2 linked regions of the Arabidopsis thaliana genome follow. The protein of the gene in region 1 purifies or fractionates together with the protein of each later gene. This does not show direct contact. Each region holds a gene or a part of one and is shown on either strand. Other genes may lie near its edges.

The links.
Region 2: the proteins of CER7 (region 1) and RRP4 fractionate together in Arabidopsis thaliana (co-fractionation; one large-scale study listed by BioGRID). This does not show direct contact.

The regions. Positions count from the first base shown.
Region 1 is NC_003074.8:22,352,050-22,355,801, forward strand, and holds the start of CER7 (3'-5'-exoribonuclease family protein), read left to right. Parts: upstream 1-1,850; 5' UTR 1,851-2,067; intron 2,068-2,175; exon of another isoform or gene 2,176-2,192; 5' UTR 2,193-2,195; coding exon 2,196-2,332; intron 2,333-2,556; coding exon 2,557-2,766; intron 2,767-2,863; coding exon 2,864-2,959; intron 2,960-3,049; coding exon 3,050-3,164; intron 3,165-3,268; coding exon 3,269-3,349; intron 3,350-3,439; coding exon 3,440-3,628; intron 3,629-3,718; coding exon 3,719-3,752. UniProt on the Arabidopsis thaliana protein: Probable 3'->5' exoribonuclease involved in the regulation of cuticular wax biosynthesis by controlling the expression of CER3. May act by degrading a specific mRNA species encoding a negative regulator of CER3 transcription.
Region 2 is NC_003070.9:822,749-826,500, forward strand, and holds RRP4 (ribosomal RNA processing 4), read left to right. Parts: upstream 1-1,768; 5' UTR 1,769-1,904; coding exon 1,905-2,065; intron 2,066-2,142; coding exon 2,143-2,244; intron 2,245-2,353; coding exon 2,354-2,399; intron 2,400-2,504; coding exon 2,505-2,594; intron 2,595-2,673; coding exon 2,674-2,739; intron 2,740-2,838; coding exon 2,839-2,907; intron 2,908-2,996; coding exon 2,997-3,431; 3' UTR 3,432-3,651; downstream 3,652-3,752. Other genes in the region: AT1G03350 (BSD domain-containing protein), read right to left, coding at 86-1,498. UniProt on the Arabidopsis thaliana protein: Non-catalytic component of the RNA exosome complex which has 3'->5' exoribonuclease activity and participates in a multitude of cellular RNA processing, maturation and degradation events.

The DNA of each region.
Region 1 (3,752 bases):
TAAAGAGTCTTCTTTTTTTCATTGGTTTAGTGGTGGCATGAGTATCTACTTGATAGCAGCCAATCTTTTTATACTATTCTTATCTAAGTAATTAATAGATATATATCCTTTTTTATAATGGGTTCCTCAGCCGTGAGTAATATACTTAGCTCCCACACTTACCTAATCTTTTGTATTTTTTTTTTCATTTTTGGGGGAAATGATTATGATTATTGCTGATACATTACAATATCCATATCCGTTTCCACACGAATACCTTTAGACTTTGGACAATACTATAAATTAAAAGCTTACAAATTACAAGGAGCTGAATTCTTCTTTTGGCGCCTTCCATTATGCACATAGACTAGTCCAAGTATAATTGTACACATAATTAATTTATCAAATAAAACATAATTAAAATAAAAGTGTATATATATATATATATATATATATATTAAAACATGCGATCTTTATCTTTGGAATAAAGTGGGGGAAAAGAAAAAATAAGCAAACAGAAAGAAGAAAAATGAAAGCAACAGCAGAAGAAGAAAACAATGGAGATTCATATTGTTCACTCTTACTAAACATTTTTTCTTACATCTCAATCAAAAGAAATGAAAAAAAGAAGAAGGAAATTTGGAGAGCATGTGGGGAAAGCTGAAATTGTTATACCAAAATTAGCGAAACGTACAATTGAAAACCAATCGGAAATAATGAAAGTAAACCTTAACTAATTTCATTCAAATAAGTTAAGAGAGTTACTTATAATGTAATTTCAAAATTTAAAAAAAAATTGGGCAAACAATATCAAAGATTTAAGCTGTCTCCGGCTCGTTCATGTAGACTACATGATGTAGTTTGTGTGTGCGTGAAGCAAACATAAACATGGTTCTATCAGTTTCTAGATTCATCCCAACATGTTTCTTGTTCATAATTAAGTAATAGTAAACAATCCAAATTAAGATGATCATAAAGATACAACCATATCTTCTTGACCCTTACCAAATAAGCAGTTTTTTTTTTCTTTTCTCTTTTTAAAGAATTCGATGTGGTTCCAAGTTTAGGAAAGAGGACGGAACTTAAGAAGAGACACTAATTAAGTGACTTAAACCAAGACATGGTGACGAAAAGATCCACAAGAGGCAAGGCATCTCGCGGAATCTGTAAACTTTTTTTGGCTGCTCATAACAGACTTTTACGCTTGATAGTTTCTTTAGAAATATAGTTCTCGTTGAAGACTTTAAATAGCTGATGATTCTTGAAATAGAGATCGAAGGATTGAAAGCTTGCTCAAAATTCTCTCATTGTTAATAAATAATCGTTTAAAGTCTTAATTAGTCCAAATGTTGAAGAAAGTACAGAAAACGATATATTTGAGTGGTGCTGCTGGAACAAGTAGGATAAAATACGTACAAGCAATACAAATCTAGTAAGTGTACATGCATGATCTTCAATTCTTGAGGATTTTGTGGGAAAGATTCTGAAAACTGTACTGGCTTGTTGAATATTCTAAATCTAAAATACAATTTATCAGTAAGTAAGCAAACATGTGCGTCAAAGTTAATCTTTCCAAGCTGAAACAACAATTGCTGAGATATTAAAAAGTTCAACATACTACTCATTGACTTTCTTAACATTTACACCAAAAAGATAAAATAAAAAACTCATTGACGTTTTTCCCTTTGAAGTTAGTAGCCCAAAAAGCATCAAGATAATGTCTGTAAGCCCATGGGCTTATATCCATTATAATTTTTTTTGTCAAATAACAAATAATATATGAAACGACGTCGGTAACAGCTGAAACGACGCCGGTGTTTGTTGATCCAGAACGACAGCGTTTTTAGTTATTCACCCTCTCGAATTTTTCCGAAACCTGTGTTTTCCCATCACCAAGCTTTCTCTGAATCGCCGCCGTGTTTACATTTACTGTTGTTAAGGCCGAGAGATAGATAGAAAAAAACATCTGTGCGATTTTGCCGCCTCTCCCTAAAATCTTTGGAGCTCCTTCGTAGTTAGCCGGAGGTGAAGTACAATAAAAGAAAGAAGAAAGTCCAAGTGTCTCTTCTCATCTCTTTTCTCCAGTAGGTACGTTTTGGTTTAATTTACAGAGTTGATTCTAAGCCTAAGAGAAGGTTTTCTATCGATTAGAGTGTTTGATTTGCTGTAAGGGTTGCTCAAAGTTTTGATTTTTAGTTTACTAGTGATAGCAGATAATGGAGGGGAGATTGGCTAATATGTGGAGGTTGACTGTTAACGAAAGTAAATTCGTGGAAACTGCGTTGCAATCTGAGCTCAGAGTAGATGGTCGTGGCCTTTATGATTATCGCAAGCTTACTATTAAGTTTGGCAAGTAAGTGCTCATAGAACTGCTTATTGATGCCGTTTCTTTTCTGCACTTTGTAGGCTTTGTTTGCTTTCTTTAGCTCTAAAGCTTCCCTCTTTGTCGAGTTTTGTGATAAATTTGAATGTAGATAACTTTGTTCAGTCTATTACCTCTGTTAGAACGAATACTAGCATGCTTTTCTTTTAGTGTTTGTAACCAAAGACAGCTTTTAATCTCGTTTGAATTAACAGAGAATATGGTAGCTCGGAAGTTCAACTTGGTCAGACTCATGTAATGGGTTTCGTGACTGCTCAGTTGGTACAACCTTACAAAGACAGACCTAATGAAGGGTCTCTCTCGATCTTCACGGAATTTTCTCCAATGGCTGATCCGTCTTTTGAGCCTGGTCGTCCTGGCGAATCTGCAGTGGAGTTGGGACGCATTATCGATCGTGGTCTAAGGTAAATGTTTTTTTGGACAAACTTTGTTGATGCTGCAAGAGTATTGCTGGCTGTTCTGGTTGGAGTAATGGTAAGTTGGTCTTTGTGTTGATTGCAGAGAAAGCCGTGCAGTAGATACAGAGTCACTCTGCGTTCTAGCTGGAAAGATGGTTTGGTCTGTTCGCATTGACCTTCATATCTTGGACAATGGAGGGTAAGTTTTGTTGGCTACAGTATATCTCATTGAAGGTTCTGGTTTTAAAATGATCTTTAATGCGTGTTTTTGTTACACATTTATGTATAGGAACTTAGTTGATGCTGCAAATATTGCTGCTTTAGCAGCTCTCATGACATTTAGGAGACCCGACTGCACTGTAGGAGGAGAGAATGGTCAAGAAGTGATCATACATCCACTAGAGGTTAGTCATATGTTTTCGGTTTAGAGAAACTTGTAAGAATTTGTTAAGTGGAGAAGACAGTTCTTAACTTTAACTGTTTGTTCTATCTTTACTTTCTTTTGCAGGAAAGGGAACCACTTCCATTGATAATACATCATCTCCCAATAGCCTTCACGTTTGGATTTTTTAATAAAGGCAACATTGTGGTAAAAACAGTTGTATTTTTAGTGAGAGTCTAGTTTGCTTTTTCTTTTTTCTTTTCTGAGATATAAAGTGTGATGTGTTGTTATATGCAGGTGATGGACCCAACTTATGTTGAAGAAGCAGTTATGTGTGGGAGAATGACTGTGACAGTTAATGCCAATGGCGATATATGCGCAATCCAAAAACCGGGGGAAGAAGGCGTGAACCAGAGTGTAATCCTTCATTGCCTGCGTCTTGCTTCTTCAAGAGCTGCTGCAACAACAAAGATCATTAGAGAAGAAGTAAGGTTTCTGAAATCCAAAGCATATTTCTTTTGAATCCAAAAATATTCAACAACTCATAGTTTGTTGTGCTTTGTTTTCATGGTGTAGGTTGAAGCATATAACTGTGAGAGAAGCTTACAGA
Region 2 (3,752 bases), on another chromosome or scaffold:
AGAATGGGGGCAAAGCGCCAGAAACTTGTAAAAACAAGTAAAAGGATTGGCAAAAGTAAGAAAGCACACCACTTTAAAACTAACATTAAGCTTTGGATGATGATGATTCTTCTTCGTCATCTTCATCAATGTCCCAACTTAAATCTTCATCTTCCTCTGCAGCACTCAGACGTTTACGCAGCTCAGCTCTGTTTGGACTACCACCAGACCGACTCGTTTCCTTACCATCTATGCTACTCATATCCTCGATCTCGTCCCATCCCAAATCCTCTTCAGATGGTTGTTGAGTTGATGAAGAAGCAGCCACATCTGGTTTAGCTGAGTCTTGGGATGGAGCAGCCTCATCAGATTTTGGTTTGACAGAATCTTGGATTGGAGCCTCATCAGATGTTGGTTTGACAGAATCTTGGATTGGAGCCTCATCAGACGCAGGAGGAGCAGCATCAACAAATGATTTTTCTTCTGGAACTTCCTCACTATCAGTCTCCTTCTTTTCCTCAGAATCTTTATCTGTCTTCAAACCAACATTGCTCACTTCAGTCACTGAATCTGCACTTGTCACTTCATCTTGCGTGCTCACTTTAGCCACTGAATATGTACTTTCCACTTCATCTTTCACAGTTTCACTCACATCTCCACCACCCATACCATCATTCCCTTCAAGTTTCAACCTTGAAACATCTTTGGTAGCTTCAACAACTTTCTCGCTGCTCTCCTCTTCATCATCAATATCCCAGCTCAATTCTTCTTCATCATCCAGAGAGATGGCTCGTTTCACAAGATTAGCCCTTAAATCCTCAGCTTGCTTGAGCTTGTTAACCCTATAGAAATACCTAAACCAGAAGGTCTCGTGATCAACCATACTCGGAACGACCCTTTTATACACTCCTTTCATATCACCATTTTCCTCCAACAATTTCTCCATCTCCTCAGCTTTTCCATCCAGAGAAAACGCAGATTCCCACTTTTTGTAATCATCTGAATCCTCAGGCTCTTCACAGTAAGTGTTGAGATCTCCTTGAACAGCACGAATCTGAGCATCGAAACGACTATATGGTTTCGAACTGAAGCTATCACGACGACCAAAACTCTGACTACTATTGTTATCAGAAGAATCAGATTCATTACCAGCGGCTAAAATCGCTTCCTTACCTTGAGCAATAATCTCAGCCGTACCTTTTAGCACCGTGTTCCCAAGCTCATCAATCGCATGTCCCACCGTACCAAGCGATCCCTGAGCCACCTCGATCTCTTTCTTCAAACCTGTGCCAAATTCTTCGAGATCTCGTCGGTAGGTTTCAATCACGGATTCGGATCTGGTGGCTAGAGTTTTCATCAGACCACCGAAGCTCCATCCACCGTCGTCGTTAGATTCAGATTGCTCTGGATGTTCTTGCTCTGGATGTTCATGCTCTTCGCTGTGTTTCGGTGAATCGGATTCGGATTCGGTTTCTGGAGGATCTAGGTCTTCCGTGAAGACGGATTTGAAGAAATTCATAGCGTAAAGCTCAGATCTTACCAATCGGTACTCTCAGATAATTTGTTTGATCCGTGAAAGAATCAATTTGAAGAGTGAAGGATTCGAATTAGCGTCAGAAATAGGAAGATCACAAAAGACTTGAAGCTTGTCGCTGCAGAGACGTCTAATTTTTTTCCCATTTTTTTAATGAAGATAAATAATACTTTATTTGGCGTCAATTATCAGATTAATGGGCCAGAAGTTTTATAAATGGGCCAGAAGTTGGATATGTTAGTCCAACAAATAACACAAAACCCTAGAATTCATTCAAGGGAACTAACGTCAAGGTTTTTGCTCTTCTTCTCTCCCAAGTCCCAAACTCGTTTTGCATCGCCATTGTTGTGTTGCTGGAGCTAAATAGAGAGAAAGAGAGAGAGTGTCTGTGATGGTGATGAGAAAGCTACAGTTACCGTTGAGCCAGACGCAGAAGGTTAGGTTTGAGAGAGCAATCGAGCGGCTTCAATCACTGTCGTCGTCGGCTAACTCTGACGCTTCTGTTATCGTCACCGACTCTATTCCCGTCAACCATGACGATGCCTTCCTCAAGTAATTTCATCTCATTCTCCCTTCTGGATTGAAATTTTTGTCAAATTGCGTTTTCACGATTGGTTTTTTCATTAAAGGGGACATGGAACTTCCGAGGTCGATGGTGAGTTGCTCGCGACGGTCTGTGGAGTAGTGGAGCGTGTGGATAAGCTTGTCTATGTACGCACCTTGCGAGCCAGGTCTGTGATTGATCTTTGAATTTGTTTAGTTTCCCAGAAAATGTGAATAGAATGGACTCTCTACTCTGAGATTAAGTAGAACTGATGGTTTTGATGATCTACGTTTTAGGTACAAGCCTGAAGTTGGGGATATTGTGGTAGGCCGTGTCATTGAGGTAGATTTTTGTTTTGGTGTTTGGATTTTTGAAATCGGATTGAGTGAGTAACATAAAGGTTTCAATCACATTGCACAGTTACTGGATTGATCTTTACTTATTCAGGTTGCTCAAAAACGTTGGAGAGTGGAGCTCAACTTCAATCAGGATGGAGTACTGATGCTTTCTTCCATGAACATGCCTGATGGTATTCAGGTACAGTTTGATTCTTGATATTTTGCCATTTGGATGATTGCTTTTGGCTTCAATGATATAAGTTTATTGTTGTTGCCAGAGGCGAAGAACCTCTGTGGATGAACTCAATATGCGGAATATCTTTGTAGAGCATGATGTCGTATGTGTAAGTCCTGTGATTAGTAATGTTCCAATCTTTACATATCTTAACAGTTACGTCAACCTGACTAAAAGGGTTCCCTCTTTGGTTTGTTCAAACTCTTAGGCTGAAGTACGCAACTTTCAGCATGATGGTAGCTTGCAGTTACAAGCCAGAAGTCAGAAGTATGGCAAGGTTGGTTCTCATTTGGTCACATGCTCATGTAGTTATACCTTTCGCTAGTCTCTTCCTCTGAACATTGATTAATCCATGAATCGCTACAGCTCGAGAAGGGACAACTTCTGAAGGTCGATCCTTACTTGGTTAAGAGAAGCAAACATCACTTTCATTACGTAGAAAGTCTTGGGATTGATTTGATTATTGGCTGCAATGGTTTCATATGGGTTGGAGAACATGTCGAAGTGAGAGATCCTATGGCAATAGATGATCAGAAAGATGAGGAAATGATCTCATCCTCCTCCACAGGAAAAGAGCAAAGCCATATTCCACTCGAGACTCGACAAACCATATGCAGAATCGGGAATGCGATACGTGTCTTGTCTAATCTAGGCTTCACCGTGACACTAGAAGTAATCATGGAGACTGTTAACCTCAGTAACTCAAAGAATATTGACATACATGATATGCTTGGATCAGAGTTTCACGTTGTGGTAGCAGAGAATGAAGCTGAAAGAAGACGTACAAAGAGGAAAAAGTGAAAACTACCCCTTTTTGTCACTGATGTATCAGAGACTTGTAACGTGTATTAGATCATTCGGTCTTGTTTGTTACTCAGCTTCTATTGAAAGTTCGAATTTTAATCTGATTGAGATATGTAGTATGATGGATGTGTTTGATACTATTAACTGTACATCAGATTAGATTAGTCGAGTTATGTCTTTTGGAGACGGCTTTCTTCTTTCATTCATGAATTTATCGGTTTCGACTTTTGTAGCTGAAATTCGTTTTGTGAAAGGATCTACAGTTGCAGAAACAACATAGAAAAGATTCGCTGCCCTTTTTAGCTCGGAGAAGGGATA